Linked DNA regions of Notamacropus eugenii. The protein of the gene in region 1 interacts with the protein of each later gene in a pairwise test. Links are inferred from orthologs where the notes say so. Each region holds a gene or a part of one and is shown in the gene's direction. Other genes may lie near its edges. The genes, in order: RBPMS, RBFOX1, SEMA4G and RDH12.

Region 1 (7,467 bases):
ATGTTACCCTCAGAGCTGGCCTTCTTGTCAAGGGCTTCCTTCTGAACTCCTTCCCTTCCCAGCTGTGCATTATGAAAGCTGCCTCAATGACCCTCTTTTAGTCCTTGAGGGGGTCATATTTGTCCCCTCCCTCCAGAATCATCACCCAGGAAAAAGGTAAAAAACATCTTCCTTGTTAAGCAGTCAAGCAGAAGAGAGCTGTATGTGGGCCCGGGCCCTAAAATGTAGGTCTCCGTTTGCACCCCCTTCTGTCAGCAGCGGGGTGACCTGCTCCATCATTGGCTTCTGGATCTGGGGCCTCTTTGTGGTCATTGTGGAAAGTGTTCAACCTTTCTGACTTTGCCAGGAGCTAGAAACAGCAGGTGGGACCGCCCCTATTCCCCTATTCTTTGGGGGGGAGGCAATTGTTTCTCTTTCTTCCTCTGTCTCTCTCCCCTTCTCTCTGTCTTTCTCTCCTCCCTTCTTTCTCTTCTTTTCTCCCTCTTGCCCCCTTCTCTCTCCCTTCTCTCTCCTCTCTGTCCCTGTCTCTGCCTCTCTGTCTCTCTATCTGTCTCTCTGTCTCTCTCTGTCTCTCTGTCTCTCTCCCTCTCTCTGTCTCTCTCCATCTCTCTGTCTCTGTCTCTGTCTCTGTCTCTGTCTCTCTCTCCCTCTCTCCCTCCCTCCCTTTCTCCCTCCCATAAAACTCAATTTCTAAAAATCCCCAAACCCTTCCTTGGAACAAATAGATGTAGTTGAGGCGAAGCCTCCAGGTGTTGCCTTTGCGTGACAGCTTATGCCTTGTTCCACACCTGTTCTCCGCCACCTCTGCCGAAGGAGAGGTGGTCCATCTGCCGAGGTCACAACGGGAAGTGGCTTCAGTCTGAGGACTGAAGTCAGTCTCCACGCCTTTCTGGGTCTTCCCCACCTCTTGACACCCTCCTCCCCCATGCACCTCTCAATTATTTCCTGTCCAACCCAGCGTATATTCCGTTCCATCCATACCCAATGTTCTGTTCAGCCCTTCCCTTCCTCAAAGGACCTTCCCTTCTAGCTTTTTGCTCCCCCGGAAAAGGGCTTCTTTAGGAAGGGTTCGGGCACAGAGGGGACCTTCTCCTCTTGTCTTTGAGCCTCCTTTGGAAAGTGTCGATGTTGAAGGATCTCTCTCTCCATCTTGGGGTATCTTCGATGGCTTTCCCTGTGCCCGCAATGCCCTCCCTCATCTCTGCTCCATCCCCTGTGCCCGCAATGCCCTCCCTCATCTCTGCTCCATCCCCTGTGCCTGGAATGCCCTCCCTCTTGGTCCCCACCTCCTGTCTTCCCTGAAGTCTGTATGAAATCCCTCCATCAAGTAGCCTCTCTCAGTCTTTCTTAATCTTTGAGCTTTCTGCCTGAGAACGCAGTTGTTTGTGTCTGCATCTTGTTTGTATTCAAAGAGATGGCCCCTGTAATAACACACCAACAACCTTGTTTGTACAGGGCGGGGACCGACTTTGGCCTTTCTCTGGATCCCCAGCAGCTAACACAGCACCTGCACATAGTAAGCGCTTATGAAACGCTTGTTGACGCAGGAAGGCGTTTCTGATAACAAATGCCCCTTGGCCCCCATATTGGAGAGGGAAGGGTTAGTCTTCAAGGGGCCAAGTGGGCTGCTCTTGGTTTACCGGAGAGGAAACAGAGGCCCAGGGAGAGGCTAGGCACTGGCAATGCTGGCAGTCAGACCCAGCTTCCAAAATCTTAGGAATGTCAGACGGGAAAGAGCCCTTGGTGGCTCTTGGCTCTCGAGGCCCAGAGATCCCGGCCCTGACGCCCTCTCTTTCTCCTCCTCCAGACATTTCGAGGGCTTTTGTTTTGGCTAGGTTGGGGGCCGTGCTGTACTGTGGGTTATGAGTTTAGATAAAACCCCAGTTCTGGCCCAGACGTCGGGTCCTTTGGATGTTTTCTAAATCTCTGGCTATTTACCTGGCTTTGTAAGTCCTTCCCATCAGCAGCATGGGTGCCAATCTTTTTGTGGTATGTCCTTCACTCCCACTCGCTTCCCCCTGCAGTGACTCCAGTGTATACTTTGGCTCAGCCTTTGTTCCATTGCCATCTTCCCCCTTTTCCTCTTTCTTCCCAGCTCTCCATTGTCTCAGCCTTGCCATCTTCTAGACCATTTGACTGCCGTACGAGGTTCCGATCACTTGTGGGGCTCTCGATGTTGGGTGATACAGATGTTGCTGCCACGTACGTCTTTAGCATTCCATGTCATTTTCCAGTTATGCCAAATCAGCTTGCCACTCTCTGCCTCAGTTTCCTCATCTGCAGAATAAGTATAACGATAGACCTTACTACTCTTTAGGAGAGGAGTGTTAAAAAAGCTTTTCTAAAGTGGTGGGCCTTGGGAAGCCCCTGCTTTTGGCGGTCCTACAGCCAGGAAATCTCCTCCCAGCAAAGTTGGTTGATTTCTATGTGATACTACTTAGAAAAATCAATGATGAGCCTTCAGAAGTTGTTGGGGGGGGGGGGGAGGTTCCGAGGTGTAGTTAATGGCCGGAAATGACCCTGGGGAGAGGACAAAAGGACTCCTTCATCCTCCTTCTGAATACCTGATTCCTTTGTGTTGGATGAGACCATATGCAGATAACCCCCAGCCTGGATGAAAGTAAGTCCCTGCCCCCCTTAGGCTTTTGGAGGGGGAGAAAGGGGAAGGGGAAGGGGCTGGGCTTCTCTCCCTCACTCACTCCTCTGTGGGTGCAGGTCCTCAGTTGGTCTGTGGCCTCCCTGGCTCTGTTGGTGCTGCTCTCACACCTATTAAGGGCACAGAGATCCTCAACCACAAGATTGAAGCTATGGGATGTAATCAGCTGTCAGCAGCCAGGCTCCTGAATGTCCTTCTGCTGAGATTTCTAGTGTCCTATGTCTGGCCTGATGAGGGCAACACTTTGGATTGTTCTTGTAGACGGTCACACAGACAGACCCAGTTTGGTCATTTTCCTGTGCTCTGTTGGCATCCATTGCCCTACATCTCTATGTAGCTGGGCTGAGTGGTGGGTTTTCTTTTTTTAATTTTCTGGCTAAATAACACATTTTTTCAACCTAATCAGAGCCCTTTCCAATCTAGGAAACTGAGGGCCACAGAATGGATGACCTTCCTAGCCTAGTGTCTGGACGTAGTAGGTGCTTAATTAATGCTTCTGGGATTGGATTAGGGATAATTGAGGAAAGAACCTGAGCAATGGTCTCATTCTGCCGATAGAATGGAACCCTTGAGAGCAGAGCCCATTTTTCTGTTTCAAAGTCCCAGGGGGCCGTGAACTTCCCAGGTAAGGGCTTGTGGCCAGTAGCTTTTTGTTTTCCCAGCCTGACAGGAAGCATGGGAGAGTGGGACCCTTTGGCACACAGCAGGTCCCAGCAGACTTCGGGGACCTTGGGGTGGCCTGAGCACCTGCCTCTGGATTAGGATGGCTGAGGAGTTTTGGCTGCGGCATTGCTTTCTCTCTACCTCAGTTTCCTCATCTGTAAAATGGGAGTCATAATAGCATCTCCCTCTCCAGGTTGTTGGAAGAACCATATGAGACATGTAAAGTACTTTGCAAACAAATGCTAGCTGTTATTTTTGGTGGCGGCAGGGTAGAAAAAAAGAAGGGAAAAAGGAAATTTGCCCAATAATTTTGCTGTATGTTCGAAACGAATAGCAATGGGTTTAGTTGACTTATAGTTTCACGTACAATTGTCTTTTTATTGTACTGTGTTATGGACATGCTTATTGTATTCCATAAATATGTATTAATGTAAGATTCACTCAATATTTCTTCTCCCTCTACCCACCCCCCAGTCATCCTACATATTTTTTTGGAAAAAGGCAAAAAACCCCCAAAACCCTGAAAACAAATAAAACAGATGATCAGGCCGTTGAAAAGTCTGAACGATCTTTGGCGTGCCCACCTCTGCAAATCCATAGGAAGGCTGTGCCTTCTCCAGTGCGGTCTCTGGGGCCAGCCTTGCTCTTTGTCTTTGAATGTTAGCTGTCAGTATTACTGTACACTTTCTTCTCCGTTGTTCCCCTCCAGCCCGTCTTTTGAAGGTGAAGCTGGGAGAGAGAGAGGAAGTGACTTGCTTAGGGTCACATAGCTGGTAAGTAGGTGCTGAGGCCCAATTCCTGTCCAGGTCTCCTGACGCCAAGTTAAGTTTCTCCCTCTACATGAGGTTTCCTGGACTTCTTTCTTTCTTAGCGTTTGCTCCCATTTACTCCCACAAAGCCTTGCTGGTTGACCGCTGTGAACCTCTCCTTTTCTAAGGAAGCCAGGCCTATCCGTAGGAACAGCAATCTCCTCTCTGATAATTAGAAACCCAACCTTATTGGTGGAGAGTGTCTTTGGGGGATGACTGGTAACAATGGAGAAAACGTACTTAGGTCAAATATAGAAACAGAAGTCACTCACTAACTCCCTATTTTTAGATTTCATGTATATAAAAGCAGAATAGAGGCTGACCATATATTTTATTTTGTTTTTAAGGAAGTTGAGCTGATGGGTTGAGGGTGGGGCCTGGGAGAGAGGCTACTGAGCCATGGAATTCCAGGGATGACTCTCAGAAGCCCTAGCCCAGGGCTTGGAGGATCTGGGAGTCACTCAGCAAAGGAGAAACTGACTTTGGATGTTCAAGATTCCAAGGCTTGGGTAAGGAATGGCTCTCATTGAAAATGCCTGCGTCTGTCAGAATGGCCTCCAGAGAAGGTTGTCGCTCAACCCTGGTTTTGTTGATGTTGTGTTAGGGATTCTAATCCTGTTAGGATGTCTGCTCCTAAAAAGGCCCCAAAGTTAAAGGCAAAGAAACGGGTGAAAATGTGTTGTTCGGGACCCCAGGAGGCTGCCATTTTGTCAGCTTGGGATCTCTGTGCCTTCCTCACCCTCTGGCAGTCAGAGTCTGTCTAGAAAGGCCCCAGTGGGCTCAGTCTATGGACTTACTCTAAGAAATTGAAATTTGACAAGACATCAGGCCTTAAACTTGTTTTTAAAAAATTCATTTCTTGAGTTTAAAATAGGGGAGTCATGGCCAGGCGGCTGTTATTCAGAAAAAAGATCTCCGTGTTTGGATGGACTGACTACAAGTTCAGCATGGGCTGCAGCTGGGGTGAGCATTTCCTCCACATTTTACCTCAGCTTTCCTGGGACAGCCGTTAAAAGTGTAGGAATGTGGCTCCTGAATGTGGAGTGGAGAAATGGAGTGATTGGGCCCAGGCAGCACAGTGGCCCACTTCAGACAATTGGACAAGCACTGAACCCCACCCCCTTCAGTTTTCTTATCTTTAAAATGGGTATAGTAATAGAGTAGCCAACCTCACAGTCTTCAAGCATCAGATGAGAGAGAGAGAGAGAGAGAGTGTGTAAGGTGCTTTGCACGCTTTAAAATGCTGTTCTGCCTGCTGGTTCTAAGGTTATTCCAGAGGGCCCAGGGGCCACTGTCTGGAGTTGAACCCAAGGGTCCTCCTGTCTGCTGAGGGAGGATAGGAATCTCCCCTCTAAGCTGGGAGGCCTGGTGGGAATTTCTCCAGGTTCTGAAGTGTTGCCTGAGGTTCGTTGGGAGGCAGAATTGTCCTTCCCCAAAGGCTGAAGCCTGAAAATGTCTGTGTTTTCCCCTCGTGCCCTGGCCTGATCAGACTTTGGCTCTGCCCTTTCCCTGATGACCTGTCTCCTGCCACTGGGTTTTCTGAAAATTTCTGCAAAGCAGGGAGGGGCAGAACTGGCATTTAAGCGCCCAACTACTATGTGCCCAGCACTATGCTAAGTGCTTTAAAATATCTCATTTGATTATCAGGACAGCTCTTCCAGGTAGTGGCTATTACCCCCATTTTACAGTTAAGGAAACTGAGGCAGTCAGCAGTTACATGACATGCCTAGGATCACTTAGCTAGTGAATGTCTGAGGCCGATTTGAACTCAGATCGTCCTGACTCCAGACCCAATCCTCCAGCTTCAAGCTGACCCCGTGGAAGGAAGGCCAGCATCTTGGATGCTGAAAAGGGCCTAGGAGGCAAGCAAATACAGCCTACACCTGGGCTAGACTCTCCTCTGAGCCTCCTGGGGTCATCCAGTCTTTCCTTTAGGCTCTACTGCAGCTAGGTGGTGCAGTGGATAGAGCACCAGTGCAGGAGTCAGGAGGACCTGAGTTCAAATTTCACCTCAGACACTCGACACTCACTAGCTGTGTGACCTTGGGCAAGTCACTTAACCCCAACTGCCTCATCCTGGGTCATCTCTAGTCATCCTGATGAATATCTGGTCACTGGATTCAGATGGCTCTGGAGGAGAAGTGAAGCTGATGACCTGCTCAGCCCTCCCTCACTCAAAACAAAGTCAAGTGCAAGTCATGTCATCATGTCTCTGATGGCATGGTCTTCTTCGGCAACGAAGGACAAACACACGCTGCCCAGGCAGTGAGAAGAGGAGTCATTTAGATAGGTGTGCTGTAATCATCCCCATTTTATAGCTGAGGAAACTGAAGAAAACAGGGTTAAAGGACTTGCCCAGGATCTCACAGCTAGTGTCTGAAGCTGGATTTGAATTCTGGTTTTCCTGACTCCAGGCATGGTTCTCTAAATGCTGCACTACCTAGCTGCTCTAGTATCCTGTACAGGGAACAGGAGATGGGCCCATCTGGCTGCAGTTCATTATGGAGTGAGCTTGAAGAGAAGGGAGTAGAGGGAAAAATCAGTCTGGTGAGAAAGGCTGACTAAACTATCATTCGTGGACATAACTGCTGGGACAACTTTTTTTTAAAGTGCTTGTGAGTGGGGGTGAGTAGTGATGCCTGGGTGGTGAGTGGGGGACGGAGAAACCTGCACGTTGGGAGGTCTTGTGAACATTCCAGAGCTCTCAGACGACTGGTACATGCAGTTCTGCGGCTCCAGGTTTTTCTGAACAGGGAGGAGGTGGGGAGAGGAGAGGAAGGAGGGGGCAGTGAGCAGCGATCTCCCATCATGCACCTTCTCCCCTCCCAGCTTCTCCAAGACATTTTACAGCAGGTGCTAGCAAAGACTGCAGCGACTTGACCTGGGCTGGAGATTAGAGATGGGATTTGAACTCAGAGAACCTGAGATCAAATCTGAGTTTTGACGTTTACTATCTGTGTGACTTCCGACAATTCCCTTAATCTCTCATCTGTAGAACCAAGGGGTTGGTTGGGATGGGCCAGCTGAGAACTGTGTGGTCTCATGGCCCCCCCTCCCAAAGAGCTTCGGTTTATGTGGGTTATATTTACTGATGCTTCTTGTATTTGAAATTAAAATGCCTTATCATTATTATAAATAAGTTTGATGTAGAAGAATCTTGGGGACCCCCCCAGACTCCACTTTGAGAATCGCTAGCCTCAGTCATCTCTAAGACCCCCTCTCCCTCTCAGTCTTGGATCCTTTCATCTCTCTGCGCCTTGGATACTTTCACTACTCACGTCTTAGAACGTTGTAAGAATCCCAACTGCTCTTAGGAATACCCCACATCGGAATTAGCCA
Region 2 (7,164 bases), on another chromosome or scaffold:
TATGAAGTGGGAGGGTTGTTTCTCCATTGTCATGTGGGCTGTCTTTAATCAAATAATATGACTGGAAGATGCTCAGATAACTCTCTATTGTGATTATAGTCAGTTCTTAATTATTCTGGTACAATTAACTTCCCTGTATATTACCCATAGCATAATATATTGGAAAGCTGCAAATAATTGACTATATTGATTCTATATATTTCAGCCCAGACTGGAAAAGGAATATTCTAGTTCACATAGTCTGGTAAACAAAGATTATCAGTTTTCTCTGGGTTTCAATAAAATGAAATATTTAATGCCATATTTATTAAACAATCCTCTGCATAAATTATTTTTTGATTGGTCAGGAGGAACGTTAGGAATTTTCATTACCTTCAGGTCATCATTACAGATATCAGTTACCATCCTTCTGTACAAGTGGGAACATTCTGTTTAAGAGAAAGTTTTGGTTAATGGGATGCTGTAAGATACAGTTTTTTGTGAGGCTTTGAAAAATTATACTTTATTTTGGATTTTCTGTGGTGATACCCTTTCACAAGTGCTAGTCAATGAGAATTGTAAACTAAATGCACCCAAATGTAATTCTTGGAGTACACGCACATATACATATGTATGTGTGTATATATACATACATGTGTGTATATATGTGTGTATGTGTGCACACACATAATTTTGCTAAATATTCACAGCTATAATCAGAGTGCCTTACCCCTCACCCTTACCCTGTTCTTTAGTTTTTGTGTTCTGCTCTCTTCTCTTCCAAGCTGACATTTAGTCTTTGGGCGTCTGTCACCCAGAAGGAATGGGGGTGGATAGTGTCATCATTTACAATCCCAAATTCTGCATGTTTTTCTTTGGGGGGGGTATTCTGAGCCACAGAAAAGGGGGTGGAGAAAAGAGGGGCAGGGGGAAGATTTGATTAAACTAAGAAGACGTGACAGAAGGGAATCAAAGAGTCGACAACTGAGAAGGGAGTTTGATCATGGATTGAGAGAGAGAAAAGATGAGAAGAGGATTATTTTAGGGAAAGGAAGCTAAAAAAAATCAAAGAAGTTATAAGAAAAATTTTACTTGAAGGAAATCCCTAAAAAACTGCATAAGGATACATCAAATGATACAAAGGAAGTAACATGAAAGGAGAGAATACAGATAGAAAGCAAAGTAAAAAACAAAAAGAATGTAAATTAGCCATTTGATTGAAGACTGGCTTCAAAACTTTGGATAAAATGGATATTTTGTTATTCTCAGAGTGGATAATGATACAGAATACATTCTTTGGAAATATAGTTTCAGATTCTTAGTGGAAAAGGTAGCGAATGTGTTTCTCTAGTGATTATCAGATCCTTCCACCACCACTCCCATCTCCATCACAGGCAGATTATGGAGATAGGAAGTATCTCTGGAAAAGTAAAGGTTGTCCTAAATTTGTGTTCAGAATGTTACCCTGCAGTCCCAGAGTTAAGTAAGCATCCATTCAAAAGGTCCCTTCTCCTTAATCTTAGACTTATCTCATTAAAAGAAATAGATTTTTTGAGTAATTATCCTTAATTGCAACCTACCCGACCTTGAAGTTATATCATATACTTGGACAGTTTGAAAATATCTTGAAACATGAGAGAATACACTTACTACAATAGGTATTGGTTTCCACAATACAGGTAGTACTACGTAGTAGAGGGAGCACAAAATTGGACTCAGGAAAAATTAGATTCAAATCCTACCTCAGGTGCTAACTAGTTGGGTAACTGAGAGGAGTCACCTAACTTCTCTAAACATCAATTTCATCTGTAAAATGGGGATAATAATAATAGAGATGGTACCTGTGCCTTTTAGGGTTCTTGTGAGACTCAAACGAGATAATGTGTTAACAAAAAAAATAAGTGGTATAGCACTTATCGAAGCTGTCTCCCAGGTCTTAGTGCAGTCATAAGCTAATAGCTTAAGATCACACTGAGATTTTGGGTGCATCCCGTCTTAATATCAGATATTACTGTTTATATTTTTTGAAAGTGAGGGTAAAACTCTAGTTTAGAAACAAAGTTTTGTGAAAACCTTTCAAATGCGGTGCACTTTATACATTTTATTCCTTGTGACTGTCAATTTTATATGCTCTTGGAAGGGGAATAAGGGAGTGTGGCATCCCATACCAATGAGTTGATTAGTATCAGGACTTTGTGGTGAGTAAACTCCCTTCCCTAATGGAGAGCATCAGCAGTTCTATGACTTTGAGCCTTAGAGAATTTTCTGAGGCCCAGAGAGATAAAGTCACTTACCCATGATTACAGGCTTATAGTTATCATACAGGACTTGAACCCAGGTCTTCTAAGCTAGTTCTCTATCTACAATGCCATGTTACCTATCAGTAAAGATAATACCTTATGATAACATGAACATATATCTCTTCAGGGTTCTTCAAAAGATTTCCTCATATATGATCTTATTAACTCACAAAAAACCTATTACTAGGTAAGTAATATTACCCCCTTTATTATGTACTTGAAAGAACAGACTCAAAGGAAGGGAAATAATTTGTTCAGGATTGCATGTTTAAGTGCTGAATATTGGATTAGAACCCTGGTTTCATGACTTGCCAGGAACTGTTTTCACCACTCAGCGATAAAGTGACATAATATGAACTGATTAATACCATCTAACAGAAAGTAATAATCTCCTCCTGTCCCTATCCAAGAGTGAAGCTGTCTATAAATGGAAGCCAGGAATAGGTAAACATGGCTATATCCCATGGTGACTTTTCTGTCCTCACTGGTAACTTCTTAGAAATGCCATGTTGGGAGTCACAGCTCCAAATCTAAAGTTAGAAACCATATCGGACTGTTAAGTAAGAGGGGTCAGCTTACAGCTGCTAACCGGAGCTCGTTTGATACATGAGCGTCAATTGTAGAAAAGCTTTCAGTGTGGCCAAAACTCAAGTTTTAAATGGAAATCTGTGCCAAATATTGTCCACTATAGTTACCTAGACAAGTAATTATGCTGCTAAATCAAGGATCTAAAATTAGTATAGAATAAAGACACCTTGACTCTCTCAAAGCACAGGAATTCGTGCCTGGATTCATGAGAAGGCAACAGTGGAATGTAATTTAAGGTACTTTTCTTTAACTTGCCCAGTTTCAGCATATTTCAGTCATCTTTTCTCTTTATAGTTAGAGTTGGAATGTATTCAGCAGGTGTTATTGAAAGATTTATTTTAAGTTCTTCTTGACCTTGAATATCACCTAAGTGGACACAGCACATTGGACCTTCATATAATTGCCTGCTAAAAAGTGAAAAAATCTGAATATAGCAACCTGCCCTCCTGGTAGACAAAACCAGAGGATCAAAAAGCACAGCTGCTATCTGTGCCTTTCAGAATTGTGAATACAGAGCAGCGTCTACACTGTGCTGAACATCTGGTTGAAAACTGGGGGGAAAATGCTGTCAATCTTCATCTGCCTGTTTACAAATAGGTTAAAGTTAGAAGGTCCAGATTTGTACCTGAGGTTTTCAGATTGCACCCAGATTTTTGATGCTATATTGACCCTGATTTATATGTCAGAATCTGACAGTATCTTTCATCAAGAAATGCGACAGAATTGGAGGTTCAAGTTTAACAATTAGAAAGTCTTTTTACCTCTAAACTCATTTCAATGAACATACGATAACACTGGTCAAATTACCCCTCTAAAGCCTATCCCAATCAATCAGCTTTCCATGTTTTCTCTGTCTCTCAAAAAAATCAGCATTCATAAATGCACAAGGCTCTATGTATTAACAAGGTGATTCAAGTTTAAACATCAACCTCTATTTTCTTTCTCACTTTTTATTTTCTGTGTATCTTCCCAAAACCCTACGTGGAATCAGCCATCTACCATTTGGCAGAATTCATTTTGGAGTATCTTAAACCTTGTTGCTTTCTTCCTCTCATTTTTTTTTTTTTTTTTTGCAAAGCTAAATTAACAAAGAGTACTTGGTTAGTCATGTTAGACAAGCTGTTCCCAAAATAGCACCTTCCATTTTGGTATCTCCAGCTTTGCAGCTGCTGTCTCTCTCCGTTGTCTGGGAAGAAAACTTTAACATTAAGAGTTGCTGATGTAGATTTTTTTCCCCTCCGAGTTGACGAGGGGTTGGGCCCTGACAGAAGTTATTTGGCTGTAAGCTTTGTAGTTTGGAAGAACTTGGTCTATAGATTTTCGCCTAACTTTCAATTGATGTGTTTAGCTTCAGTGGAAGAAATACAATCACTTAAACCATGTTGTCGTCTCAAGGAGTTTTGCTACATCCCTACGGCGTGCCCATGATTGTGCCCGCGGCACCGTACTTCACGGGACTTGTTCAGGTAATTCAAGGCCGCTTCCAACAAGCAACTTAACTCTGGTGCACTTAGAGTAATAATTGGAATTTTTATGGTTGAGAAAGCAAACACTTTTAATACAGGAAAAAGCCCTCATGTAGTCAGTGAGAAGACAGTAGGAAATCAAAAAGATGGATCACCCTAATCTGTGTATTGACATCTTTCATGGCTGAATAAATGGTGTAGTTGAGCTATATTTGCTTGTATTGATCTGCCTGCTGCTTAACATTCATGCCTTTGCTTCAAGAGGTTGACCACAGGGCAAAGGATTTGCTCTCCGTTTCAGCTTTCTGAGGGACTCAGCATTCCCAGTGCAGATCATGAGGCAAAGTAACTTACCATGATGTGGTTCAGTTAAGTGCTTTAGCCCAGCAAAAATGAGTAACATTAAATATGCATTAATTCATATGTTCGACTTCACATGGAATGTCTGTTTTAATAGAATTTTTTTTGTAAAATGGAATAATACATTGATGGTTAATTTATGAAGTTTAGAGATCATTATAGGAACCCCCACAATCAGCCCTTTGAGTTTTTAAGGATGGCAAGGAATCGGTGACTTGAAACATGCTTGGTTTTTGAGGAATTAACTAGCAGTTAATTCCATCACAGTGCTCAGAATAGACTGTCTGCTAGCATTGTACGTCAGATAATTCTTCCAAAGGTTTTCAAGGGACTTAGATTTTGTTTAGATAAAGATTGGCCTTCACTGTGAGAATTGTGCAAGCTGCTGTTTTTGGTCTATTGTGTACTGGTCAGAACACTGACACCTGTGTTCTCATTCTGGCTCTCCTCTTATATGGCTGTGTGATCTTGGGCAAGTCACTCGTATGTAAAATGAGAGAGTTGAGTGAAATGATTTCTAATATCCCTTCCTTATTTTCAAGTTTAATGATTCTACACATCCAGGTACTCAGTTGTAAGGTACATTTTTGTAAACTTTGTCATATGGTTATTGTCCAGTACTGTCTTTCTAACATTTTCTGGTTATTATCCAGCAGGTACTTTTCCTACACCTGCCTTTAATCTAAAACAGACCCTTCTCTATTATACTTTGTTAGACATTATGAATAAAATGTCTAATTGTTATTCATAGCAAACAAGCAACAAAAAAGATTTCCCTCCCCCTCACCCACATGCCCCAGACCTGTAGTTTGGGAGTGAGTGAAGTGAATAAAGTCCAGCCCAGCTCATTAGAGTTGAACTAAAAAATGTCTTCAGCACAGACTGTTGGGCAGACACATTATTTTTTCCCCCAACCTTCATTGTAACCCGTTGTTTATTACAAAAGGCTGGCTAGAATATCAAACCTGGGGTGATTCCAAACAGCCGAACAGCTCAATAATTCTAGATTGCTGGCTGGCGCCTTCACTGGAGAGTTTACTCGATATTAGCCACATGTGTATGAAGTAGAAATAAATTGATCTACCTGAGATTGGCCATTATCAATACTGAAATCTTTGTGTTTCTTGGTCCAAACAAGCACGGGCCACTGGTCCTCCTGTGGTATACGAGGGCAGGACTAGAAGCTTATAGGCAACTACTCTTATTTCCATTTTAGATTTTGGGTGAAGGTCAGGACCAGGAGCTCTGTCAGACCCTCTGCTATCCTGTCCAATAAATAATTACAAGCAAATCGTGCCTTTCACTCTATGCTGATTGATGCTGAAATTGCTTTTGAAAGTTCTCATAAGTTCCTGTTATAGATTAAGTGCCGGTGTAGGAAAAATAACTGCACCCAACTGAAATGGGTGAATGTAATCAGGTTTAATGGACTCGGGAGCTTGTTGGGAATTAAATAACTATTGATTTGTTGGAATGTTGCTGTCATTACAAAATGCCACTCTGGACACATTACCCAGGTGATAGATTAGAAGACACAAGAGCTCTTTGAAAAATTTGGGAGATCTGGTTTTATTCGTTAGGTACACCATCTCAGCCAGCATATTTGTGGAGTGTGGTAAATTGCTGTGAGGAAGCAGGAGTGGGCTGTTGCTACCATTTGCAAACTGTGACATTAGTGTGTATTTCCATCTAAGAATTCAGGTTTGGAAAATGTCTTTTTAATACTTCATTAAGGTCATGATTTCATCAGGATAGATGGTGCCCTCTCCACCTAGGAAGATCATGGCTCACCTGAGCATTAGATTTTGGTTTCCTAGGTTGCTTTGTCCAGAGCAACTCATCCCATGGCATCTAAAGTTTTATTAATGAGCTTTTCTGAATTTGCTAACATCAGTCTTCTGATGACAGACAGTTAGGTGATTGCTGAGAACCTTTTCAGCCAGGCAGAAGTGGACAAATCTCTATCACCATAGCCTGAAAGATCCTGCGTGTAGCTTCATGACTCAATCAGGCATCCTGCTAGCACTTCAGTGGAGGCACATTTGCTATCCCTGCCCCCAAATTTGAGAGCACTATGACAGTGACACAGAAAAAAGACTATTGCATTTGGAGTCAGAAGATCTGGTTTAAAATCATAGTTTGGACTTTTCCTTTATGGTCTTGGGCAAGTCATTTACCCTTTCTGGGTCTCAGTTTCCTTACATGTAAAATTAAGGGGTTGTAGTAGATGAAATCAAAAGTCCCTTCTTATTCTAACTGCATGATAATTTGTAAATTCCTGGTCCAGAACCTGTCTCTTTCCATTCCACACCCTGAATGGTCAGAGACTTAGACTGGCTATCTTTCTTTCTGGTACACTGAGCCAAAAACATGATATTAAAATGTTTGCATTAGAATGACAATTGCATTAGAATCACCTGTAGCAGCGTACTGGAGAAAAAAAATTATATCAGTGAATATTACCATCACCA
Region 3 (7,265 bases), on another chromosome or scaffold:
GTTCTTTTTCCCCCTTCCTCCCCTCCCTGCCAGAAGGCTACATTAAGTGCAGATATATTTATATAGAGATATATTGATACACATATATAGACATGCTTTCCCTAAGAAATTCTACTTCTGCCCATTAATCAAAATACCCTTTATATCCCCCCCACTATTCCATCACCCTCCCCTCTAGAGATCCCTGTCTTATCTTCTTCCCCCTCCCTTATCCCCTTGGCATTTTCTTTCTGAATTTTATGTGTGTGTGTGTTGTTCCCCCTTGAACTTATTCCTTATAAAAGTAGGTTTCCAGAACTAACACTTCTTCTCCTCAATCTAATTTCTATGTCGGTTCTTCCTCCTCCATTTGTATAAAATAATTTTTCTTTTTATAGCAGTTCCTAAATGGTTTTACTTTTTAAAGACATGTCAGACTCAGGTCTACCCCAGTCTTTCTTATGAATTACCCAATAGCTAAGAACAATCTTAGACATAACGTTTTACATTTTATATACATAAAAGGTAAACAGTCTGTCCTTAACGAGTCCCTTATAATTAGTCTTTTGTCTGTACTTATATGTCAGATTTATTAAGTTCAATTTTTTTTAAAGTCCTGAAAGTCTGACAGTCCATTAAATCCATTTTTTTTTTCCCATTCAAGATTATGCTTAATTAGCTTTACTGGGCATGATATATTCTGCCAGAACCCCAGTTCTTTTGCTCTTCAATATGTAGTGTTTCAAGACCTGTGGTTTTTATGTGTCACTGCTGCTAGGTCTTGTGTGATTCTAATTGTGATACTGCCATATTAATATTTTTTTCCCTTGTTGCTTGTAATATTTTATCCATGAGCTGGGAGTTTCAGAATTTGACTGTAACATTCCTATGAGTTTTCCTCATAGGATCTCTTTCAGGTGGTGATTGGTGGATTTTTTCTATTTCTACTTTCCCCTTTTGTTCTAATGCTTCAGGACAGTTTTCTCTAATTTCTTGTATCATTGTATCTAGATTTGTTTGTTTTTTAATCATAGCTTTCAGGTAGTCCTTTTATTCTTACATTTCCTCTTCTTGATCTGTTCTAAAGATTAGTTGTTTTTCTTATGAGAAGTTTCACATTCTCTTCTATTTTTTCATTTTCTATATTTTGTTTGAATACTTCTTGATCTCTTTTAACTTCACTGGCTTCCCCTTTCCCAATTCTGATTTTCAAGGAGTCATTTTCTTCCTGAAGATTTGGGATCTCCTTTTCCAGTTGATTGACTTTCTTTTCATAGTCTCTGTGTTTTTCTTGGGTTGCTTTTTCTGTTTGTTTTTCCTCAGTCTCGTTTGATTTTTAAAGTCTTTTTAAAGTGAATTCTTTTTGATCAGGTGACCATTTGACGTTCTTCTTTGGCATTTGAGTCTGTTTCTATATTTGTAAAGTGGGAACAATGCTTCCACTTCCTACCGTACAGGCTTATTGTGGGAAAGGCCCTTGAACAGTTTATATGGTACTATAGAAATGTGAAGTATTTTCTCTGTTTTACAGGTGAGGAGACAAGCTCAAAGGAATTAACTGATTTCATATGGACAATTAGGACTAGAACCCAACCTTTCTGACTCCTAAGCTAGCGTTTTTCCTAGGACCACAAAGTACTTCTCCTCTGAAAGACTGAGACAATAAGGATTCAAAGGTTCTGGTAAAGAAATAACCCGAGGAAGTTAGCAGCAATCAAGGGAAGCTTTCTGGAGGAAGTTGTTTTTAATAACCTGTTTTCTTTCCCTGTAGGATAAAGCTTGGCTTTGCAATCAGATCCATTAATAGGCCTTATTTTCCCCTAAAAAGTCAAATTTTCTTCAGTGAGTATCATGCAGTGAAACTGCAGATTTTCCTAAATTTTTAAAAAAGGTTAAAGATAAGAAGAAAGGAAACAAACATTTATTAACTACCACACTGCCAAGCACTGTGCTAAGCAGACTACAAGTATTATGTCATTTGATTCTCACAACAACCCTGTCAGGTAGGTTTTACAGTTAAAAATGAGAGAGGTTAAATGACTTGGCTACAGTCACACAGCTAAGTATCCAAGGCTGGGTCAAAAGAGAGACTAGAATAAATGGGGGGCAGGATAGGAGGGAGGGAAATGTAGTTAGTCTTACACAATGTGACTATTATGGAAGTCTTTAGCAAAACTACACTTATACAGCCTATATTGAACTGCTTGCCTTCTCAGTGGGGATGGGTGGGGAGGGAGGAAGGGAGAGAAGTTGGAATTCAAAGGATTAGGAATGATTGTTGAGAATTGTTTTTGCATACAACTGGGAAATAAGAAATACAGGTAATGGGGTATAGAAATCTATCTTGCCCTACAAGAAAAGAGAGAAGATGGGGATGAGGGAAGGGAGAGGTGTGATAGAAGGGAGGGCTCATTGAGGGAAGGGGTAATCTGAAGGCAAGGTGTTATGGGGTGGGGGGAGGGGAGAGACGGGGAAAAAATCTGGAACTCAAAATTTTGTGTAAATGAATATCGAAAACCAAAAATAAATAAACATTAAAAATAGAAACAAAGTGTCCGAGGCTGGCTTTGAACTCTGGTCTTCCTGACTCCAAGCCCATTGCTCTAGCCACTGCTCCCTGATAAAGTGAAGACCTGGGTTTCGTTGCCAAAGCCTGATTCCACCCGCTCTTCAGCAGTCTCCTAGCAAGCAGCTCCAGCTCACAGGTGAGCAGGTCAGTTTAACTCGTATTCCCCTGGGCTTACCCCTTGTGGCAGGTCCTTCAGCATCACTGCTAGAATGACCTACCTTAAACACAATTTTCATCTGGAATCTCCCGATTTCCCTTTTTCCTAATACCACCAAATCTGAATTTCTGAGTCTGGGTTTGAGGTAATTGTCATTGCAGTGAGAAGAGCCCAAGATTTCGAGGTGGGACCTGCGCTCAAATATGGCTGTGCCACCTACAACGAATCACTTCTGGTGATGCCGTCTTTTAGACCGATTAGAACCGTCCCCGACCTGGCCCCCCCCTTCTGTCCAGAGTTTATTCTTTCACTTCCTGTTTCCTCAGCCCTCTCCATTTCCTCATGCCCAATCCCAGTCCTTCTCCCTCCTACTGTCCCTCCACCTGAATGTCCGTCCTGTCCGCTTTTAGCAATCTGCAGGTTTAGCAGCATTCCCTTTCTGTGTCTGGGAGCGGACGGTCCACATCCTCCGCCCCACCCCCATACACAACGACACCAAGCTGGGAACGGTGGGGGTGGTGTATTGGGCAATGGTTTTTAAAGGCATAGTTCAGTGACTACGTGGGAGAGTTTTTTCTACAGTAAGTCTTCCAAGGGAAGGGGAGGCTGGCTGGCTTAGAGCTACAGAGGAACTCGTGAACCTGGAAGAGAGGACAGCGGGAATGTGACCTGCAGTGTCCGAGGGGTTGTCCTTGGAAAGAGGCTCGAAGGCCTTTGTGCCCCTTGGCCCGAAGGTCGAACTGAGCGAGGGAGCGGAGCTGGGAGAGGCGGATTCAGCGTTGGGCAGAGGAAGGGCTTCGGAGCCATCCAGTACCCCCCGAAGGCTGGGCCTGCCCCGTCAGCTTTGGGGGGAGGAGGTGGTTCTGAGCCATTTTGTGACAATCAGGACTAGCACCGAATAGCGGGGGGCTCTGTGCCTGAGCAGTGGAAGCAGTCTCCTCCCCTCGTGGACGGAGGTAGACCTGGGTGGGAGGCTCCGGAGGAAGGCGGCAAAGCCCAGCATTGTCCCCACTAGACCAGGCCTCCCGAGGAGTGGTCAGGGGTCAGACTCCACCTAGGCCAAGCCCGGCGGGGGTGGGGCCGTCGTAAGCCATTCAGTTCCCTCCCTTACGGGATCGGGTTAGTGAGGGTCCGGCCTCCCCCGGGCCTCCGTTTCTCCCTTACGACCAAATGGGAACCTCTAAGCCAGAGTGCAGGGGGCAGTGCGGGCCGCTAGGGGGCGCAGCTCCGATGCGGAGATTCCGAGGTCCCTGGAGACCCCGGGAGAGAAGAACCTACGCGGCTCCTGTCTGTGCTCCGTGAACCAACGGCCGAAGGTTCCCGCCCGCCGGGCACTCCTCGGCGCAGACTGCGGCCCCGCCACGAGGCGGCGAAAGCTTAGGCGGCCGCCGGGGCCCACGCTTTTTCCCGCGCCGCGCGACGTGGGCACGGCTCGAAGCCCGTCCGACCCGGTGACCCGGCCCGGAGCCGGCGCAGGAGAAGCCCGGGCTCCCTGGGAGGCCCACCGCCCACGAGGTGCAGTCCAACAGGTGCCTGCAGCGTCCGGCTGGGGCGGGGGGCGTGGCCCGAGCCGCGACTCTGACCCCTGGGTCGCGGGAGGCAAGGTCGGGCTTCCGGCGAAACGAAGGTAGTCGGCTCTCTCCCAGCCCCGCCCCCCCGGCCCCTCACCCCGGCTCCGGCCCCGCCCCTCACCCGGCCCCGCCCCTCCCGCCCCTCATCCCGCCCCCGCCCCACCGGCGCCGCTCCGGCCCCGCCCCCGCCCGGCCCCGCCCCCTCCGGGCCAGGGTTGTGCAGCTGGAGCCGTAGTGTCCGTGTCGCTGTGGACCCGGATTTAGGACCCGCAAGGTGGGTGGGGGCGGGGGTGTCGACCCTCCCTCCTGCGACCTCCGGGGTCGGGCCTGGGGGCGGCGGCGGGCCTCCTTCGGCTTGGATGCCTCGGCTCGGCCCGGAGCCGAGGCCGCAGGTGCACGGGCTGGAGCGGGCTGGGGACTGCGGTGGGAGGCGGGAGCGGAGCGAGGCCGTGGCAGGTGTGGGGACGGAGAGGCCGGGCTGGGGTCCCTCCCGCTGCAGCCCGCCCGCTGGGATCGGAAGGGATGGGGGTCTGCGGGCTGCAGCCCTGCGTGGCGTGGGCACCGGGAGGGCCCCGTGGGCTAGGTGGGGTCTTCCCCGAGATCGGTGTTAAGCCCAGGCCCCAGAGGACGTCCTCCAGCTGCCGCGGGAGGAATTGAGCCCCAGGGGGGCGGGGGGGGCTAGGGCTCTCCTTGGACCCGGGGATGGGCTCCGGAGGTGCAGTCAGCCCCCCGTGGGCACTTTCTCCCAACGCCCTGGAGGAAGGGATGCTGACATCTTCCCACCTGGGCCCGAGAGGACTGGAAGGCAGGACTGCTTCGGGGGAGCTCAGACCCCAGACTTGGAAGGCCCCAGGCAACTGGGACCTCCCCTGGTGGGAGAGGTGTGTCGTGGGGTGAGGGGCAACCGCTGCCGGGCAGTGCTGCTTCGCAGGCCCAGGACTGGCCCTTCCTCGGAAGGTAGAGGGGCCCTCTGGGAGAGACAGCCTGTTCTCCGGATTCCAAAGAACGTTTTTAGGACAGTATGGCTCTGGAGGATTTGGGGACTTTTGGTCCCAACCCAGCAGCCCTGCCAGGGGAAGGAAGCTGAGCCTTTGTAAATGAGCCCCATTCTCATCCCGACCTTACTGTTCTGAATCATCCTTATCCCCTTTCCCCTCTTCATGGAAGATTGAGCCCGCCCAGCCCAGAACTTAGCCCTTTCTTCACTGTTTGTATTATCTGTGGGTATTTACAAACACATCTTGTTCATGCCAGTGTACTCATATACACGTGTGTGTTTGTGTATAGGTATGTGTCTGTGTGTGCACATATGTATCTAGGTCAAAGCTGCCCATATCCAATGGTACTAAGCTGACCGTGTACCCTCCCTCAGCAAACAATCACACCTCTCCAGATCTTCCACCCTTCCCAACCTTTGCCCTTTAATTAAACTCCATTGGTCCCCCCACATGACATGATCTGTTTCACCACTTCCCTATGGCTATTCTGGCAACTTCTCCTGCTCCTCCAAAGCAGGCTGGTTAATGTTTTACTGAGGAACAGACCGAAGCCTGTGGGGATGGATGGTGTTGAGTTTATCCCTGTTGGCTGTGATTCCAGGCATTATCCTTGGGCTCTGCCCCCAGTTCTTCCCAGGTCTTCATCTGGGAACCTCCCACTCCTCCATCAAAGAGGAATAGAGGCCCTAAGGCTGCTCTTTGTGTAGAGACAGGTAGGTGGTGCAGTGGGTGGAGTGCTGCTGGACCTGGAAGCAGGAATGGACTTCAGATATGACCTCAGACACTTACTAGCAGTGTGACTGGACAAGTCACTTTATCTTTATGTCTCAGTTTCCCCAACCGTAAAAGGGGGATAATAATAGCACCATGAGCTTATGCTTATAGAGCCCACCCTGGTGGGAAGGAGGGGTGAGAAGTATCATTAGATGGTCCTGGCCTTCTCCTTTCCCGTAGGAGTCCCAAGTAGATCAGAGACCAGCTGGCCCTCTTGCCCTACCCCAGGGGATCTTAGCCCCCAACCAGTAGTATACCCTTAATTTAGGCTCCCTGTGAAGACTCCAGTGTGCATGGGCATACATAGACAGAAATAATCCATACATGGAAAGACACATACAATTCAGCCAGGGACTGTAGTAGAGAAGAAAGGGTACTGAATGTAGAGTTTACAGGACCCAGAGCAAGTCACTAAGCTTCTCTGATCCTCAGTTACCTAAAATAATGGTGCTTGAGTAATGTCCTTCACAGAATAAGGAAAGGGATTTGGGCAAAACGCTCCCTACATTCTCCTTTGACTCCTGTCTCCATGCATTTGTTCAGGCTATCCCCATACCTGGAGTAGACTCCATCCTCAACTCTTTGTGTTAAAGTTCTCCCTTGGCTTCATGGCTCATGTCAGGTGCTGCCTTCTCCATGAAGCCTTCCCTGAATCCCCTCATCCCCCAGGTAAGATCTCTCCAGTTTCTGCACTTCCCCTTTGCACCTGTCTTTCTCTCTTAGATTGTTGGCAGACTGTCAGTTTCTTGAGAGCAAATTCTGAGTCTCATCTCTTTATTTCCATTGTATTAGACACCAGAGCGCCTTGCACAGAGTGAATGTCTAAAATATGCCTGATGAGTTGAATGTTAACTATTATTAATAGTGATAATGAATATTTTCTGAGTATTTGGTCCATGGAGGAAACCATACACATCCTGCTCTTGGGGGGGGGGGGGGGCAAACAGCCTAAGATGTTGGGGGCAAGGGTAAAAGAAGACATGTGTATAGATAGCACAGCATCAAGTGATCAGTGCCAGGGGAAAGCCTGGCAGAAGTTCTGAGGATTCATAGGAAGAAGTCTGAAGATCAAGGAAGGAACATCTACAGATTTACAGAGATGTAGATACATATTACTGTGCAAAGAGATGTATGAATATATACAAGTAGGTGTGTGGCAGCACATTCAGTGTGAATAGGCACCTTTGGTTCTTTGTGCATATTTGGTGATTAAAATG
Region 4 (6,983 bases), on another chromosome or scaffold:
TTAAACTGGGAAAACTATTTCCCTGACCCATCCTGGCCACTTCCCAATATTAAGACTGCCTGAATCTTCCCGCAGTAGCGAGGCAAGGCCACTTCTCAATACTGAGGCTGCCTGAATCTTCCCGCAGTAGCGGAGCAAGGCTACTACTGCGGGGCAAGGTGGATTCTCCTCTCCCTACGGCGGTCCCTGTTCAGGGCGCCAGATGCCCGGGGCGACTCCCAGGCCTTCGCCTTCTACTTACCTATCCCCGGTCTTTGGACGTCTCCGGTCCCTCTCCCGGTTGGGGGAGGGCAATACACAGGCAGAGCACCCGAAAGGAGTTGCAGTCAGCAAGCTTTATTGCGTTTCTTCTCCTCTAGCTCTTGTGGTCATCCCCTTTTATTATCCCCTGTCTCCTCCCCCGTACCTCCCATGGGCAGGTGAGCTCCTCCCAAGTGCCTCCCTGTGGGTGGAGCCAGCCTGTTACCAGGGCCATCCCAGTACCCCACAAGGGGGCAGGTTCGGACCCTCAGGTGTCTCACGGTCCTCACGGGGGACCCCGGTCCAGAGCTGTCCCCCAACAGGAGTCCTTGTTTTAAGAAGTTATAGTTTTTCCATTGGATTTTGTATATGAAATGGACCTAGAAAGGAATGAGGGAGGAGGATTTCTACAGGATTCTAATATTAAGGAGAAAATGCTTCTACTTATCAATTTCATTGTGAATATCACTTATATTTACGTATGTATATGTGCATATACATATACATGCATTTATATATACATATATATTCTATATATATGGGTGTGGGTGTATGTATCCTCCATCAAGCAATATCCAGAAACACTAGTCAGAAGTTACGAAAATTCTAAGTAACGAGAAATTGTGAATAGAGATTATAAGATAACAGAAACCAAACATCATGGAAAGGATTGATTTGTTGGCCCTGTGGCAACAGGGTATATATAAGGTAGGCTAGTTTGTTTGGATTGTAGAGATAGGGTTGGGGGAGAGGTTGGTGGAACAATGGGAAATCATTCTTGCCCTTTGCCTTAGTGCTGTCTGGCTTTTATTGTAAGCTGTTGCGGGGGATAGGATTTGGTCAGGGGTTTTTAGAGTCTAGTACAGCACTATGAGTAAGTAGGCACATGCCTTTTGGTAATGATGAAAGTATTAATTATTATCTTCCTTATGTTGCAATACTAACATGACAGTATCCCAATACTGGGTTGAGAAACATTTGCCTTTTGATATTTTATTTTTTCATTTGAAGAAAGGAATTCTACAAAACCTATTCTACAAAACCTACTTTGGGTTATGAAGATCATGTTTAATAACTATTTTGTCAAGTTATTTCTGTGTTTCCACTTTAGGCCCTTACCACACAACCTAAACACTAGATGACTGAGATGTTTTATATCCCTTTCACCTATTGCCCCATGATACTGGAATGTGTTTCTCTTGGACTTTCCTGTCCCTAGGTCAAGCATGTTCCACTGAATCATGATCAGAGGAGATGAGATTCAATATAAAAAACAATCAGAAGCCACTGTAGATTTTAGTATGGGGACGTCACTTCACCCAGAGTGACAGCTACCTCCTTCCTCATCCCTTTAGTTCCTTATGACTGTCTTAGATTTTCTGGGGCACAGCAGAACTGCTGTAAGGGCCCCTCTGACCTTTGGTACCTCTGACCCTGTGCTCATCCTCCCTTCTCTTCTTCCTGTTTCCACTGCATTCTTACTGGCTCCTTCACCTATTTAATACTTTTTTTTTCCACTTCACCTACCGCTTCCATTTCTGGTTGGAAAAGACAGACTCAGAGTGGGCTAGCAACTCTAAAAATGTTATTTCTCTTGCCTGACAAGGAGTTTGTTAGCTTTTTTTTTTTTTTTTTTTGCTTCCCTCTTTCTCTGTAACACCCCAAAAAGGAAATGTCAACATCAGCTGGTGTGGTATGGAGGAAAAATGTACTCTTTAGGAAAATGTACTAAGAGCCAGATGACCCATATTCAAGACCAAGTTCTGCCATTGACTACCTGTGTGACCTTGAGCAAGTCAATCTGTCAGAGCCCCAATTTCTTCATTGGTAATATGATGATAGAGTACTTGTATGCTTTAGTTTCCTCAACTATAAAATGAAGGGCTAGAAACTAAAGGTTCCTTCTAGGTCTAAATTGTGTGGTATTATTTTTTTGAGTTATTCATTCATTCATTCATCATTCATTAAGTGCCTGCTATATGTCAGGCTCTATGCTAAATATTTTGGATACAAATACAAAATGCAAACGTTTCTGCCCTTAAAAAGTTTACATTCTATAAAAAAGGGAAAAGTACCTATATGTGCAAAAATATTTATAGTAGCCCTTTTTGTGGTGGAAAATACTAGAAAGTGAGGGATGTCCATCAGTTGAAGAATGGTTGAATAAGCTATATTATAGGAATGTAATGGCATACTATTGTGCAAGAAGGAATAATGAACAGGCAGATTTCAGAGAAACCTGTAAAGGCTTGTAAGAACTGAGGCAAAGTGAAATGAACAGAATCAGGAAAACACTGTACACAGTATCAGCAACATTTTGTGATAATTAACTATAAATGACTCAGCTCTTCTTAGTCATACAAAGATATAAGACAAGTACAGAGGACTCATGAAGGAAAATGCTATTCACATCCAGATAAAAGACTGATGGACTCAATACAGATTGAAGCATCCTTTCTTCAATTGCTTTATTTTTTCATATTTTTTTCCTTTTGATCTGTTTGTTCTTTCATAACTATGACCCACATGGAAATATATTTTTACATGATATAACCAATATCAAAAATTGAACTCAAAATGTAAAAATGAATGCTAAAAATAGTCTTGACAAGTAATTAGGATAAAATACTATTTTAAAATGTTTACATTCTATTAAGGGAAACAGTGTTCACACAGATGAGTAAAGACAAAGTAACATGGGATCAAAGGAGACCTTGTCTAGGAGGCCACCTTTGAAGGAACTTGGTCTTTCTCCAAGACAGAGTTGACAAAGAAGCGAAGTCTAGGCATAGAGATGGAAGGGACGGTGCTATAAAATATGAGATATTATCATTGCTCCTTTCTTCTGATTTTTCCCACAAAATGCTCTTAGGAAAACAAGCAGAAGATGAAAGCAGTCACTGTTCAAATGGGGCAGGAGAGATTTCTGTTCAGAGATTAGGTGGACCAGAAAGCCCCTAGGGTCCCTTCCAGCTCTATGATTCTATAAAGAAGAATTAATGTATATATAGCACTGTTTTCATTCTACTGTATTTCAAATAGCATCCCCTTCTATGTCATTTCCCCCATTAGAGTGTAAGCTCCTTGAGGAGAGGGACTCAATTTTTGCTTGTATTTCTATTCCCACTGATTAGCACAATGCCTGGAACATTATTAACATATTAAGTGAAGACTTAATAAATGTTTTATCTATTTATCAGATGATATAGTGGATAGAGCACTGGATCTGGAGGCAGGAAGATCTGAATTCAAATCTGGCCTCCAACACTTACTAGCTATATGACTGTGGGCAAGTCACTTAACCTCTGTTTGCTTCAGTTTCCTCATCTGCAAAATGGGGATAATAATAGTTCCTATCTCCTAGGGTTATTGTGAGGATCAAATGTGTTAATAATTGAGATAACAGTGCTAAGCACAGTGTCTGACACATAGTAAGTGCTGTATAAATGTTAGTGATCAATCAATTGTTGAAGTTGTTTGTAATTGTTTTTTTTAAAAGTTGCCTTTCAATACAAGACCCAGGAATAAAAAAAAAGGAACTGTCATATCTTAGGGATATAAATGTGATGGGATGAGTGAGCTGCAAAGATGTTTCTCCAGTTTCCCTATGTTCCCGCCCCTGAAGGTTTAGTTCAGAATTGGACTACATCTCCCAGCAGGCCATGCTCTCACAGCTCACAAATTTAAATCCGATTCCGAGTCGGGCTCTGATCCAGTCTGCTGGGAGTAGCAGAGAAAGCAGACGGGCAGGAACCCGAGAGTAGTGAGCATTACAGCAGCAGGAGCAGCAGCTTGGAAACATGATAGGCATCTTGGGACTGCTCACCTCCTTCCTTTCCTTCCTGTATGTGGCAGTTCCCTACATCAGGTCTGTGTTCATTCATTGGTTCACTAAAAGTCTTGACTTATTCCTGAATCAAGGACCACTTCTGTTAAGAGAGGAAAAAGTGATGGAAGCAGACTGGGAAAAAAAAGTGGGAGTAGGAACCAGAGGAAGGTAGTAATTATGGATACCACCCTGAAAGATGAGAAAGGAGGTCAAGCCAATTTGCCAAGTGCATCATGCAAGTGGAGGATGGGTGATTTTGAATCCTTTAGGAACTGGTAGGAAGAGTGAATGACCTTAGTAAATGACTTGCTGTTGGACTCTAACTGTATTGATTACTCTTAATGTATGCGTGCCTGCCTGTCTACTAAGCATCCCTCATCCAGATGGCACTGTTGAATGACATGATTGTTAAGGGATTAATTAATGAATGCTTAGGGGAATTCTGGGAAAGAAATGAAAAAATGAATAAACTCTTGTTTCATTTTAAAGTTCCATATCTTGACAAATCTAGTTTCTCATTCTGTTTTGTGATTTCTCTGTTGTGGTTAGACTTTTGTAGATGTCAAGGGCTGCTTGTTCTAAAGGAAAAATCCGGGAATTGTCAATAATTGAAAAATCTAAAGAGAAGGAACAGCCATATCCCATTTTGAAGCCAAAGCATCCCTTTAGGGCCTTGATATTCCTCTTTCATTAATCTTGAGTGACCATCTATGGGCAATAGGGAGGAGCTCTGGTCTCAAGAGTTCAGTCAGTCAGTTAGCAAGTGTTTGTTATTAGCATTACCACTATAGTAGAATAACAGCACTGTACCTCAGATGGCCGGCTTCCTAGACCCGTGGAGAAATGGAGAGGTGACCAGAGTGGAGTATTTCTATGGAGGGTGGCCAAAGGTTGACCCACTGATCGAATTGCTCAGAATTTTCCAGTGGTCCTGGGCAGATTAGTTTATTCAGCTAAGACTTGTTAAGTGTATTATACTTGGCATGATGTATATTATTTATAGGGTATTGAACCTACTTTTAAAGGACCCTACAGAAAATCATAAATACTTCAGTGATGTTACTGAAGGGATTCCTGCTCAATAGATCTGGCCAGGTGTCTTCAAAGTCATTTCTAACTCAAGTTCCTGGGACTCTATGTCCTCTGCTACCTCATGGACTTGATTCTGAGTTTTCATGGTCTCTGTTCTAGTTAGGGAACTTTCTTCTGATTTAGCTTAAAAACATTTTTTAATTGAAAAAAAATTTTTAATTTTAAAACAAAATGTTTAAAAATATTTTATTTTAAATATCAATCAGTATAAGCAAAAGGAATGGTTGCTGTACTTCATCTTTGAAGGGGACCAAAATGACATCACCATGATAAAGTGAAATTTCAGTGTGTCTGACATGACTGATCAGACCAATATGAGCTTGGAATGCTCTCCACAGGTTGGGCACAGATAGTTCGTGTGAATATTTGGTTTGGATATCCCAAATTTTCGCATCCTGTGTTTACTTTGTGCTGTCTCAATTCTACTTTGCTCAAAGAGCACAACACCCTTTCTGATGTGGGCACGCCATGCTGAGCGGTCCTGTGCCAGTGTCTCCCATGTTGTACAGTCAAATCCAAAGTTCTTGAGAGAGACTGTTAAGAGTGTCCTTGTATCGCATCTTCTGGCCACCATGTGATCCCTTGCCTCATGTGAGTTCTCCATAAAATAATCTTTTTGGCAAGTGTACATTTTGCATTCGAACAACATGGCCAGCCCATCTGAGTTGCACTCTCTGAAGCATCATTTGAATACTTGACAGTTCAGCTCAAGCAAGGACTTTAGTGTCTGGTACCTTATCCTTCCAAGTGATCCTCAGATAAGCCAACGAATAATAACAAAGGAAAAATACAGATCAAACAAAGCTCTCATCCTCTTTGCCCAGATGATTATCCCTTGTTCATAGGCATACATCACCTTCTAGCATGAAATTCTAACAGATTGCCCTCCCTGAGCCAAAAGTAATCTGTTGACCTTAAGAGGTCAAATAAGGTGAAGGAGCATGTTCTGTGTGTAATGCTGATTGCATAGAGAAAGCATGTAAGAAATTTATAATTATTTCTTATGCAAGTCAAATAGGTTCTGGGAAAGAAAATGAGTTTTAATAATCTTTTCTCTTGTATCTGTAGGAAATACTTTGCTGGTGGAGTTTGTACATCAACTGTGCAGCTTCCTGGAAAGGTAGTTGTGGTCACTGGAGCCAATACAGGCATTGGAAAGGAGACAGCCAAAGATCTTGCTCGTAGAGGCAAGTCCATACCCTTCCAGTTTTTGTCTTTTTTCCTGTTACAGTCCCCCACTTCCTCCCATTTCACCTATCTTTGCTGCTAATTGCTCTTGTTTTGGAGGCATGTGGCTAGAAGTTCAAGAACATGTTTAATAAGTTTCCTCATGTGTAAGAGAGGGGTTGGACTAATTTCAGTGGTTCTCAACATTTTTTGTTCTGTAAGCCCCTTTCAACTAAAAAAAAAAGTGTTATGAATCTCCAGGGTAATTTAATATACTATTAATAACATTCTTTGCAATTGCTTACTGTTTTATGGTACCATTAAATAATTTTTTGCTCAAATATCATAGACTAAAAGTATCAAACATGGGACCTGAGTTACGTTGTGGCCATGAGTGAGGTTGTAATTGGGAAATGTAATTAGGAAATATTTAATAGAATAAATAAAAATGCAAGAGAGCATAGATAATGTTAACATATAGTTTTCTAAGTTAATAGGAGTTTTTTAGGGATCCTTATGTATAATTTAGTGGCCCCAGTTTCTATTTAAGTTTGACACCTCTTTCTGTTGAAAGACATTGTTGAAAACTCATGAAGGTTGGGGACAACTTAATGGGAATCTCTGATCTAGGTGATCTTGAAAGTCTCTCTGTGGC

The links.
Region 2: the proteins of RBPMS (region 1) and RBFOX1 interact in binary tests that used the Homo sapiens proteins (3 or more experiments, as listed by UniProt). The link is inferred for Notamacropus eugenii from reciprocal best matches to the Homo sapiens genes RBPMS and RBFOX1.
Region 3: the proteins of RBPMS (region 1) and SEMA4G interact in binary tests that used the Homo sapiens proteins (3 or more experiments, as listed by UniProt). The two-hybrid records come from large-scale screens. The link is inferred for Notamacropus eugenii from reciprocal best matches to the Homo sapiens genes RBPMS and SEMA4G.
Region 4: the proteins of RBPMS (region 1) and RDH12 interact in binary tests that used the Homo sapiens proteins (3 or more experiments, as listed by UniProt). The two-hybrid records come from large-scale screens. The link is inferred for Notamacropus eugenii from reciprocal best matches to the Homo sapiens genes RBPMS and RDH12.

What each region holds. Positions count from the first base shown.
Region 1 is NC_092878.1:167,536,667-167,544,133, reverse strand, and holds the start of RBPMS (RNA-binding protein with multiple splicing), read left to right. Parts: upstream 1-4,462; 5' UTR 4,463-4,541; coding exon 4,542-4,637; intron 4,638-7,467.
Region 2 is NC_092872.1:85,127,982-85,135,145, forward strand, and holds the start of RBFOX1 (RNA binding protein fox-1 homolog 1), read left to right. Parts: upstream 1-4,158; 5' UTR 4,159-4,246; coding exon 4,247-4,333; intron 4,334-7,164. UniProt on the Homo sapiens protein: RNA-binding protein that regulates alternative splicing events by binding to 5'-UGCAUGU-3' elements. Regulates alternative splicing of tissue-specific exons and of differentially spliced exons during erythropoiesis.
Region 3 is NC_092872.1:178,944,684-178,951,948, forward strand, and holds the start of SEMA4G (semaphorin-4G), read left to right. Parts: upstream 1-4,253; 5' UTR 4,254-4,332; intron 4,333-4,446; exon of another isoform or gene 4,447-4,550; intron 4,551-4,737; exon of another isoform or gene 4,738-6,591; 5' UTR 6,592-6,717; intron 6,718-7,265. UniProt on the Homo sapiens protein: Cell surface receptor for PLXNB2. May play a role in axon guidance.
Region 4 is NC_092872.1:312,387,583-312,394,565, reverse strand, and holds the start of RDH12 (retinol dehydrogenase 12), read left to right. Parts: upstream 1-3,963; 5' UTR 3,964-4,040; coding exon 4,041-4,108; intron 4,109-6,229; coding exon 6,230-6,348; intron 6,349-6,983. UniProt on the Homo sapiens protein: Retinoids dehydrogenase/reductase with a clear preference for NADP. Displays high activity towards 9-cis, 11-cis and all-trans-retinal. Shows very weak activity towards 13-cis-retinol.